Oryzias latipes: one gene and its partners. The protein of the gene in region 3 purifies or fractionates together with the protein of the main gene of each other region. This does not show direct contact. Links are inferred from orthologs where the notes say so. Each region holds a gene or a part of one and is shown on either strand. Other genes may lie near its edges. The genes, in order: satb1, ppm1a and tripartite motif-containing protein 16-like.

Evidence for each region.
Region 1: the proteins of tripartite motif-containing protein 16-like (region 3) and satb1 purify together in Homo sapiens (affinity purification with mass spectrometry; 4 studies listed by BioGRID and IntAct, with this or other methods). This does not show direct contact. The link is inferred for Oryzias latipes from reciprocal best matches to the Homo sapiens genes TRIM47 and SATB1.
Region 2: the proteins of tripartite motif-containing protein 16-like (region 3) and ppm1a purify together in Homo sapiens (affinity purification with western blotting; 3 studies listed by BioGRID, with this or other methods). This does not show direct contact. The link is inferred for Oryzias latipes from reciprocal best matches to the Homo sapiens genes TRIM47 and PPM1A.

What each region holds. Positions count from the first base shown.
Region 1 is NC_019874.2:30,130,667-30,134,315, reverse strand, and holds part of satb1 (DNA-binding protein SATB1), read right to left. Parts: intron 3,056-3,649; 5' UTR 3,028-3,055; coding exon 2,817-3,027; intron 1,394-2,816; coding exon 1,217-1,393; intron 881-1,216; coding exon 754-880; intron 1-753. UniProt on the Homo sapiens protein: Crucial silencing factor contributing to the initiation of X inactivation mediated by Xist RNA that occurs during embryogenesis and in lymphoma.
Region 2 is NC_019880.2:12,122,365-12,126,013, forward strand, and holds part of ppm1a (protein phosphatase 1A), read right to left. Parts: coding exon 3,465-3,649; intron 3,372-3,464; coding exon 3,254-3,371; intron 213-3,253; coding exon 101-212; intron 1-100. UniProt on the Homo sapiens protein: Enzyme with a broad specificity. Negatively regulates TGF-beta signaling through dephosphorylating SMAD2 and SMAD3, resulting in their dissociation from SMAD4, nuclear export of the SMADs and termination of the TGF-beta-mediated signaling.
Region 3 is NC_019864.2:31,029,930-31,034,216, forward strand, and holds tripartite motif-containing protein 16-like, read left to right. Parts: upstream 1-1,344; 5' UTR 1,345-1,543; coding exon 1,544-3,202; 3' UTR 3,203-3,684; downstream 3,685-4,287. Other genes in the region: washc4 (WASH complex subunit 4), read left to right, coding at 4,248-4,287. UniProt on the Homo sapiens protein: E3 ubiquitin-protein ligase that mediates the ubiquitination and proteasomal degradation of CYLD.

The DNA of each region.
Region 1 (3,649 bases), on a different chromosome or scaffold from region 3:
AGACTCAGAAAAAGATGGGTGTCCATTCATAAAAAAATGCTTTAGCATAAAAAATAAAGCATTTGCAGAAACACGCATGTGCTGGTATCAACAATTAACTGACCGTGCTTTTTGAATCAGGTGATGAGGAGCTTCACGTGAGATTTTCATTCTCATGAAGCTCCTCCCATCCTGAAAAGTTGACAATTTCCATGTCTTGTCTTGGTTTTTTTTACATCTTATTTTATGTCTTCTTGAGTTTTTCCCATTTAAACTTTTTCAGCTGCAGATTTTTTCCTGAATTTTTGAAACTTCAGAGGAAGAATCAGGAATGTTGGACATTTATATCAAAGACCAAACAACCGCCCACATCTTCCCTCCAGGTTTAGCTCTGTGTTTGCAGTTATTTAAAACTCTTTGTTTGGCATTAATGTAACCGCTAAAAATGCACATGATTGATACGCAATATTATCAGAATTATCAAATGTTAGTTTAAGCAACAAACGGCTTAAGGATCTTAAGACGCGTTACTCTGAAAGCCAAGTCGACTGCAGAAATTAAGACTTTTATTCTGAAGGTTTATGTGTTTTATGTCCTCAACACCACAAAGAACTGCTCAGCAGGAAAGTTGGGGATTTTCAAATGAACCAGGATGTCAAAAATCAAACGTCTTAATCTGGATTATGGGAAGTTTTCTTCCTTTAAGGTTTTTGAGAAGCCTTTAGCAGGTTTCATCCTCTGATTTCAGGCATGTAAACACGGCGTGCTCCTCACCTGTGCAGCTGGATCTTGAGCGTGACCACGTGGTAAACGTCCTGCAGCATGTCGGCCACTGTGGCGTCCGGCGCGTCCGTCACGTACGACAGCGGGACGGGGTTCCACTTCCCCACCTGAATCATACCTGCGGGGTGAAAGCGCGTCAACGTGGGCCGGAGCGGAGCTCGCCATCGGCGCTTTATTTAAAACTGCAACACTGGCGTGCTGTGATGTCAGCAGGGGAGAGGTGTGAGTCAGGGTTTGCGTGCGTGTGTGTGTGTGCGTGTGTGCGATAGGGATGGACTACGCGCACAAATATGCATCTTAAAATAGCAAAGCTCAAACTGCATGTGTTCCTGTGCAATTACAGTCTTGCCTCCACCTACACAACACGTGTGCATGGAGATACACACATGCAGGCCACTGTGTGATATCTGTCAGCGTGTGTTGCAGTTATGGTGGAGGGGGTGGGAGGAGTCACCTTTGGCCTGGGCGGCGGAGCTGTGAGAGTAGCCCAGCGACAGCAGAGCCATCTCGATGAGCTGGTTGAACAGCATGTCCTTGCGCACCAGGACGAACTCGGCGTGCTCCTCCTTGCTGTCGAAGTCCATGGGGTTCTCGTAGTGCTCCACCACGCAGAACACCGGCAGCATGTTGCCTGCAGACACGGCAACACCCGGGTTCTGGGGGTGAGGACTCTGACCGTCAGCCGCTCACAGGGAGTCATATTTAGCCCGATGATCGAGTTAGGTGAGGAGAAATGATCTTTCAGAGTGCAGTTCCGGTGCAAAGACTCTCCCATTCCCATCAGCACCAGGAATCCAACGTCAGGCAGAATTCACCTCGCGTTGGGGTTAAACACGGTAAAAACGGGGAAACATCACCGTTGAAGCCTTTTCCTCCCAAAGCAAAGGCCTCTCCTGCTAAACGGAGTCACCAGCAGCTCGGTCGACTAAAAAATGAAGAGTCCTGGTCCAGAAAATGAACGTTTACTCTGCAAATTTCACCCAATGTGCTTTTGTGTTAGAGAAGTTTTAATAGGGAAAGTGAAAAGCGTCTCCCCGAATAAAGAAACCGTGTTTACGTCCTGCTGTCAGACAGATTTCTACTTGTTTATCGTCTCTGCTGACCAAAAAAAAAAGATCCCAATATTTTCGGATCCTAGGCATTCCAGAAGATGCGCAGGGCTCCGACCAAACAATCGACGGGCCAACAAATGCAGAGGAATGTGCTGAAAGGGCTGCTTTTCTCCCCCCTGATTCTGATAGATACAGATCTGACAATAAAGACTGCTGTGCTGGTTCATTGGGGGGGGGGGGGGGGGTCAATACTGGCTTTGTTTCCAAAAGCCCAGAGAGCGCCGTGGCAGATATTATTATTTCGGACCAACTGTGGCTCCTGTGCGAAGCCTGAGAGGTGAGCCCGCCCCCTCTTTGCCAGCCTGGATGCTGGAGAAACAGCTGAAAGGATGGGGGGGGGGGAATAGCGGACGTTTCTCCCAGATGCATAAAAAAAACGAAAAAAATAAAGTGGAGAAATGACCCATCTGAGGACACAGCGACACATTCCAGGAGCTCCTGTCTCCCTATTGGCCAAAAAAAAAAAACAACAGACCAAAAAAGCTCCAGCAGCCAAGAACTTTTACGACTCCAGAACTGACTTCTGAATCTCACTTCCACTAAAAACAGAACCATAATCGTAAAAACAGACTCGACTGACGCCTTCTTCTTCCTCAAGAAGATGACTTATATTAATAATAAAACTTTGTCAAAGCTCCTAAAAGAAACTTCTGCCCACTGCAAACAAACGGCAGCATAGCAGAACCTTCCCCTAGCTTTGGTTTCAATGCACCAACGTCAAAATATTCTACTTTTCTGAGGAGAAAAGCAACTTCCTAGAAATGTCTTTTTTCTGTAAGAGCAGAATTATGCACAATAAAACTTCATTATTATGCCTGTGTCATTAATTAAGCAGTAAAAAGATGAGAATTTGCAGATTTTCCGCCGTGACGGTTTTATGGCGCCTCTTCGTTTAAGACACACGAGGAGAAACAGACGCGATCTCCTGCAGCGCCGTCTTACCTCTCTTGTGGAAGGTCTTCAGCAGGTGGCCGCTGGGCTTGTACGGGACCCCCGCCAGTTTGGCCCCGTTGCTGCCCAGTCGGGCCCGCCCCAGCGGGCTGCCGTTCTGCTCCAGCCGGGGCAGCTTGGCCGGCGGGGCCTTGGCTTCCGCCATGCTGTTGACCAGCTCCGAGTTCTCCTTGCCCAAACACGTCTCGCTGAGATGCTCCATCCTTCTCAGCGCCTCTGCTCACTATCACCTGGGGAGGGAAAGAAGCATTAAAGAAAACACCTGATGGGTGGGATTTTGGCTAGGCGTGAGGCTGTGGAGCTCTGAGAACATCTTCCACCTGAGAAGAGCGAATCTCCACATTCAGTCAGAGGAAAGTATTACAGTTATCCAGCAAACGTGGCGCTTAAAAATAGAATTTAAAACACAAACTCAGTTTCTCAGTGAAGAATTTGGATGGTTCCAAAGCAGAAAAAGTATTTTTAATGATATTTTGGATTTAAGATTATGAATGTGGACGAAAAATCTTCAACTTAAAATTCTAAGTCCAAATCATTATTTTTATTAAAAACTTTTATAATAAACCCCTTTATTGTTTCCCTGTTTATGTATTTACAATCATTTAGTCGTTTTTTTAAGCTATACTTTTAAAAACTTCTAAATTCAAATTTTTTTATACATCTATATTTATATATATAAATACATTTGGTTTTGGATGAAATGTTGACCTGTGGAAGGCCTGGGGAGGAGACAAAGTAGTTCACAACTTTGTAAAGTATGTGGGCGCGTGCCTGCATGGGCGCGCGCGCAGCTGCTGACTCATGGGACCCGTCATGAAAAAAAG
Region 2 (3,649 bases), on a different chromosome or scaffold from region 3:
ATGTGAGCGGTTACAATTACAATTGCCTAGTTACAGATACTGAATTCACTTTTAAGAAAAACTGTCAAATAAGTTAATATTAAAAATTTAAAAGACGTACTTGCTTGCCAGCTCTCCACCCGGAGGGAGGTTTGGTATGGTCTCAGAGGTTAACATTCGCATAACATTGACCAAATCAGGAGTACCTTTATCCCACTCAGTTTTAAGGATCTCTGAAAGGAATTGTAAAAAAAAAAAAAATTGAACAGATTTATTTTCCAATACACATTTATTTACATGTATGTTTGTGTGAGAAGCTTAAAAATATTATACACTAAGCACTTTTTTTTTAAACACCAGAGCATTTTTCCCCCCAACAAAACACATTGGTTTTGCCATTTAACAGATGTCTGGAAATTCTATTATTTACTGTCTGTTGACTTTATCGGGTGAGCTGGAAGAATTAAATGCGCATGTCAATTTATAAAACAATGAGGAGCTTTGTCATCACATTTGAACACAACTAAATATTCCACTGTCAACGCAGAATGAAAGCAATTGGGAACCATTACTCGGACACAAAGAGGTAGGGCACGTAAACTGACAGAACAAGATCAGCAGGTCTGAGGTGCCTAATGTGCAGAGATGACCAACTTTAGACAGAATAGATCCGTGCAGACCTCCAAGTTCAGAAACAACACATACTCATGGAATGCGTTTCTATAGCTGACCAACTGCATTCAAACCATGCATCATGAAGGACAATGCTTTGTATGACGCAGCAGCTTAAAGAACTGGACTCTAGAGCAGTGGAGATACTTTCTCTAGAGTGACAAACTTTTCCACTTCGTAGTTGCCAGAGAATGACTATTATCAAAATGCAAAATGTCGACTTTGGTGGAGGGGCAGTTTAAACAGTGTTTTTCAACACTGGTCCTCAGGGCACAGTGGTCTGCATTTTTTCCATGTTGCACTTGTTAAACACACACCACATCCAACTCCTCAACAAGCTCAGCAGAAGCCTGAGAATGTCATAAGAAACAGGTGAGCTTCAGCATGAAATACTAAATATATCCAGAACAGCGTGTCCAAGGACCAGAGCTGGGAAAGAATTATAGTGAAGGGTTGTTTAACAGAAACGTGGCTTGGCCTTTTAGATTCATTGCAATAAAAAAAAGTAAAACAAAAAAAAACAAAAAATCAGTGCTTAAGCACAGCAAGAGATTTTGGACAACTCCATGCTAATGCATAAAGCAAAGTTCATAAAGATGAGCCAGTTTGGTGCCCTGAAAAATCTGGACTAATTCCTGACCTAAACCATGTTGAAGACCTTTGGGTTTGGGGTGAATTAGACCAAAGACCATGAGTAGGAAACCTAACTATTGAACATCAGTGTTTGCCCTTAAGCTTCTTAAAGATCGGTCAAACCTTCTTATAAACATCTGCAAAAAGCACGGCCAGATGAGCTTAAGCTGTTGTAGCAGAAAGGGGTGCAGCAATATTCTGGATGAATATTACTATTAGGATGTGACAAAAATAATCTACGTCTTTCCTGTTACTTAAACTGGATACTTTAAACACTGTTAGAACCAGCTTGTTTTTGCGAGCGGAGAAAACAACAGGATGGTCATTTACAAAAGCAAGTGGCACTCTGGTTTGCTCCTGCAGCAGTGAACCTTGTTGGGTGATATTTAACGTACCCAACATGCTGGCAGTTAGGAGTTTAGCATTTCATCCAGAAATCTAAATTCAATTCAATTCAATTCAATTCAATTTTATCTGTATAGCCCAAAATCACAACAACAGTCGTCTCGATGGACTTCGATCTTAAATCAGATCCACACAACTAAAATAGTTTCTCTGTGACACTTGTGTTCTGCTGTTGACATTTGTGTTGAGTAGCTTTTGTGGGCAATGATGTTTTAAAGTCTAGCATAGCAGGTTAAACTCATACATTCTCTATTCTCTTTGACATTGAAGGCTCATCTTCGGTTTCCTTACGGATTTATTTCAGCACTGATCCAAATCCGTTTTTTTTTTTTAAACTTTGCTAACTTGGGGGTTTCAATTTAGCGGCCGGTTCAGCCGCTTTAGGAAGGTGGCGGATGGATTTTTGACCTACAACAAGAATAAGACGGTTGTGGAGAGAATCCCCTATTTTCCCAAAATAAAACTTCTTTAGGAATAAGATTATAAACGAACAGTTGTGGGTTCTTGTTTTTTTTCCTCTGTGCCCCGGTACCAACTCTCCCACAGGCCGGTACAGGTGCATGGCACAGGGGTCTGGAACCACAGCTCTACTGGCCTGGATATGGTACTTTCTTATGTGTAATGTGACCAGAACATAAGTGCAGCTTTGCACTTACAAAAAAAAACAAAAAAAAGGGGTCTATTGTAGCACAATGATCTTGCAAATTAAAAAAAATCCTCAGCCCTAAGAGATGAGCAAAAACATTTAGTAATAAAATATTTACTTCTATTTATAACATTTTCTGGTGTAGAAATACTTTTAAATGATCTGTCTTTCAAAATGCTCTTGTCCACTCACTATAGGCAAGTCAAGATTTTACACTAAAAGTAAAATGAATCATGCATAGCTTGCAGAAAGAGAAATGAATCATTCCACAATAATACATAAGCAATTTCAAAAGACCTGCTAATAATGAAAACAACAGCAATAAACAAGCAGATTTTTTATATCTGACAAACTGAATGAATTTTAATGTTAAATGACTTATTGTGATGATAAAACATTGCGTAGACTCACAACATTAAAAAAGCGCATTAAAACAAAAATAGTCTGCATTGTCCAGGTGGTACTAATCTAGTACCCTCAGTTATTAAAAGGCTTTCCAAATCCTCAAAATAATTGTTTAGCTAGTCTGAAGAATTCAGATCTCTTGCTATGTGTTATGCTGGAAACAAATCTTACCCAAGCAATAAATGTGACTGATTTAACAGGGTTCTCATATTTACGTGAAAATTTTGTAGTGAGAGTTTGCCTAAAGTGAAAGTTACTGACAATACTTTTGTTTTTCAGTGCAAGTGCCAGCATGTTTAGCAGCACATACGATTTAACAGGGTAAAATACAATCAAAAGTGCAAATACAATAAATACATTTATGTCTCAACATTGCATGCCTCAGTTGTTGCCATGTTAAAAAGCCTACACAAATAAAGATGCTCAAACAAGTTTCCATACAGTAGGCAAGTACTAAAATGCTACTTAAATAGACCTGGTTAGTTCAGACAAATGTAAGTTTCTCATAACTACCTTCAACTCTGGCCTCCAAGAACTTGTCCAGTTCCATCTCTCGCATCACTGCTTCTTGAGATACCTTTGGGGCCCCAGGAAAGCAGATTAACACAACACTCATATTATCTCGACTTCCCTGCGGAAAATAAAGAACAATACATTAAATGAAAGTCTGGTATAAGACTGAGTAGTGGAACATGCAAGTGAAAGTTTTGTGAACGTGTCATACCTTGTACAAGCAGGTGTCCACAATTTCATTGCAGACTCTTTCAAGATCATCCGTAACCTCTAATCTTGATCTCACAAAGCTACACACTTCCTCATTCCCCATAACATCCCAGATGCCATCACAAGCAAGTATGATGAATTCATCGTCCTTCTCACTTCTTTCTATTGCATAAACTTCAGGCTCTG
Region 3 (4,287 bases):
GCCATTCTGTTCAGTGAAAAAGTAAGAATCTTCCCGTTCTTCCAGAAACGTCCTGTGTTTATCTTTATATTCTGAATTTCACAATTTTCACCATGAGGGTAACAGTCTGCAGCAGCACATCTAATGTTTATGTGTTCTTATATATACACTTATGTGTCGGGAGCAAAACACACACACTGCCAAATTACTTTTATTATTATTCATTTTTAATACCCTCTGATGGTGAGAGTGTGGTTTAAGAGGGAAAATTTATGAAACGAGGCGCAGTATATAGAAAACATGATGAGACGCAAAGAGCTGCACGCTCGTTGGCCAAGAACCGCGTGCCGCCCGAGAGCCGCGTGTTCACCACCCCTGGTCTAAGGTATTTCTATGTAAAACAGTGTTGGAAAAGATCTGTTCGCTTTTCAGATCTTTCCATGCGTGTTCAAGAGTCGGGAGAGATGGAAGCAAAGCAAATGGTTCGACCGGATAAAACACAAAGTTTTGTTTCCCTAACAAAAGTTCTAGAACAGATTAAAACATTTTAAAAGCAGATATCTGGGTTCTCAGTCTATAAAATCTGCAAATGCACAAAAACTACATGCGACTTCAGATGCAGCCAAGCTGAGGACAAAGAAAAAGTTCATCAGAAGAAAGTTTTATCTTGGCGGCCGAATCTCCTCCCCTGGACACACGGACTCGCTGACAAAGGGGCCCGCCTGCTTCCGCCGGCCCATATTTGGAGATGCAGCCTCTGGATCTGAAAAACGGTTACCCCATCTCCCCACAGTAATTCAGCTGGACAGCAGAACTTCATCACAGGTACTTTTATGGCTCGTTTCCGAGGGTTTGGATCTTCAATCCAGATGGTTGAAAAGTGGTCCATGACTAATTTACTGCTTCACACAAAAGGTTCGGTCTTCTCAAAGGGGGGTCTGTATCTACAGTCATAAATCCCCCCACTGGAATGCCAGAGGAGGTAAGCCTCTAGGGTTCAAAAAGAGTTCACGACACACTAAAGATTCAAACCTCAAGTAGTAAAAAAGAATAAGATAGAAAACATACATTTCTTCAATAGTGACAGAATTTGTCTGGCAGTTTTTTTCCAGTGACTCATAAACGTGTTTTGGGCCTGTGTGGACGTGTTAGTTCTTAAAAATCTGACAAAAGCAGAGTAACGTGCTCTGCAAATAGTGTTCCTTCTAAAACTGGAAACACCAGCAACCAGTGAGCACGTTCAGACTGAAAGATAGCAGGATTCGGCAGCAGAAACAGTTAAAGTCAGAGCTGCACAGCAGCAACAGTCTGAGCTGATGAGACACAGAGCGTTTGACAAATATGCTGTTTGGTTTCTATCCTGATCTAACAGCCATCTTCTCTAAAGTCCCCCTCATCCTCATCTGCAGCTCCTCCTCTGTCATGATGGGCGTCACCAACAGGAGGAGAAGAGAGAAGCTGATTGGCTGAACTCACAGTGAAACCATCTGATTGGAGGATCAGAGTCATCCGGTCTCTGAGGAAGTGAAACTCTCAGAGAGAGTCTGTGTGTCTGAGAGGAGAAATGGCGCAGAAAGGAGCAGATGTGGATGAAGAAAGCTTCTGCTGTTCCATCTGTCTGGATCTGCTGAAGGATCCGGTGACTATTCCCTGTGGACACAGCTACTGCATGAAGTGTCTTCAAGGATTCTGGGATACAGAGGAGAAAGTCCCCAGCTGTCCTCAGTGCAGGAAGACCTTCACACCGAGGCCTGTTCTGGTGAAAAGTTTCACGTTAGCAGCTTTAGTGGAGCAGCGGAAGAAGAGCGGACTCCAAGCTGCTCCTGCTGGTCTCTGCTATGCTGGACCTGAAGATGTGGTCTGTGACGTCTGCACTGGAAGAAAACTGAAAGCCATCAAGTCCTGCTTGAGCTGTCTGGCCTCTTACTGTGAAGAACACCTTCAGCCTCATCTGAAAGCAGCTGCATTGAAAAAACACAAGCTGGTGGAACCCTCCAAGAATCTGCAGGAGAACATCTGCTCCCGTCATGATGAGGTGATGAAGATGTTCTGTCGCACTGATCAGAAGAGCATCTGTTATCTCTGCTCTGTGGAAGAACACAGAGGCCACGACACAGTCTCAGCTGCAGCAGAAAGGACTGAGAAGCAGAGAGAGCTGGAGGAGAGTCAGCAACAAATCCAGCAGAGAATCCAGGACAGAGAGAAAGAGGTGAAGCTGCTTCAACGGGAGCTGGAGGCCATCAATCACTCTGCTGATCAAAGCGTGGAGGACAGTGAGAAGATCTTCACTGAGATGATCCGTCTCCTCCAGAAAAGAAGCCGTGATGTGGAGCAGCAGATCAGATCCCAGCAGCAAACTGAAGTGAGGCGAGTCAAAGGTCTTCAGGAGGAGCTGGAGCAGGACATGGCTGAGCTGAAGAGGAGAGACGCTGAGCTGAAGCAGCTCTGGCTCACAGAGGATCACAGCCACTTTCTGCTCAACTACCCCTCACTGCCCCCACTCAGTGAGTCCACCCCCTCAGCCAGCATCCATGTCCGTCCTCTGACATACTTTGAGGATGTGACAGCAGCTGTGTCAGAGCTCAGAGACGAACTGCAGGACATTCTGAGAGAGGAATGGACAAACATCTCACCGACGGTTTCTCTTGTGGACGTTTTACTGTCAGAACCAGAATCAAAGAGCAGAGCTGACTTCCTCAGATATTCACGTCAAATCACACTGGATCCAAACACAGCATACAGACAACTGTTACTGTCAAAGAAGAACAGAAAGGTGAAATATATGAGAAAACCTTGGTGTGATTCTGGTCATCCAGACAGATTTACTTATTATCCTCTGGTTCTGAGTAGAGAGAGTCTGACTGGACGTTGTTACTGGGAGGTGGAGTGGAGAGGAGAACCTATTTGTGTAGCAGTCGCATACGACAACATCAGCAGGTCTGGAAGAGAAAGTGAATTTGGTTTTAATGATAAATCTTGGTCATTAGATTGTTCTTCAAACAGGTTCTCATTTTACCACGACAGCATAGCAACCTCCATCTCAGCTCCTGGTTCCTCCAGAGTAGGAGTGGACCTGGATCACAGAGCAGGTGTTCTGTCCTTCTACAGCGTCTCTGGAAGCATGACTCTCCTCCACAGAGTCCAGACCACTTTCACTCAGCCGCTCCATGTTGGACTGTGGGTGGGTTCTGGATCCACAGCAGAGTTGTGTAAAGTGAACTAGTTTCAGAAAGGAGTGAAATGTTTGTTTTCAGTGATTTCATCTAGAACTAAACTTTTGAACTGTTCAGATTCTGTGGAGTCATGTTTGTAGTCAGAAATGGAGAGAAAGGAAAATCTCTAGAATGTGGATTGGAGACATTTTGGAATATGAATGTCAAACTTTTGGGAGTCCAATCTGTTTTCTTTGAACTTTGGGATTCCAATGGTTTTGTGTTGTTGTCATGGGAACTGAAGGAAGCTGCAACACAAATGGAGTCAGTGAGGTCACCATCCCAGACTTTCTCTGGTTTGTTCTCCACAGAAACACCAAGAGAAGAAGCTGAAGGAGAAGATTGTGTTTGTGGAAAGAAGAACATTTAAAACTTTGTGTTCTTTCTGCTTCATTTGACAACTTTGAATTGAAGATTTGTGTTTTCATGTCTCTGTTCTTCAGAGAAAAGTGGTTTCTGATCATGTAACAATAAAAATCTCCTGTTTCCTGAACCACAGTGGTAATTGAACCCTCACACTGATGTCCAACATGCAGACTCCTGGTCTTCAGCGGTCCAACAGGAAGTTTGTTGTTACGTGCATGCATGCTGTGCATGTGCACTCCAGTGACGGGCAGTGAAGTTTGTGGCCGGGGGTGCACTTTCAGATTCAGTTTTACTCATTTATGTGCTGACTACTGATTGTGTTGCTTTTCTTACTCTTTCAAAACACAAACAGTAACAAGAACATATAGACCAGGGAGTAAAGTAACATGTATGAATGTTGTCCATCTACACACACTTAAGGATTTATTCCTGCAACATGTTTTGTGCTTTTAATTGTTTTTCTCTTACCTTAAAATAGAACAAACAACGTTTTTTTATTCCTCTTCCACATTATTGCGTTGGAAAGCACTTTGAATGTATTTGACAGGGGGTCTGTATTGCACACCAGGTTTATTTACCCTGGACTACATTACCCATGAGCACCTGCTGTGCAAATCACAAGATCTGTCATGAGATCCCGTAGCTTCATTTTTTAACAACACCGCGTTAGTTCTGGTCAGTTCTGGTACCATGGCGGTGGAAACCATCGCGCCCGACTGGGAGTTTGATC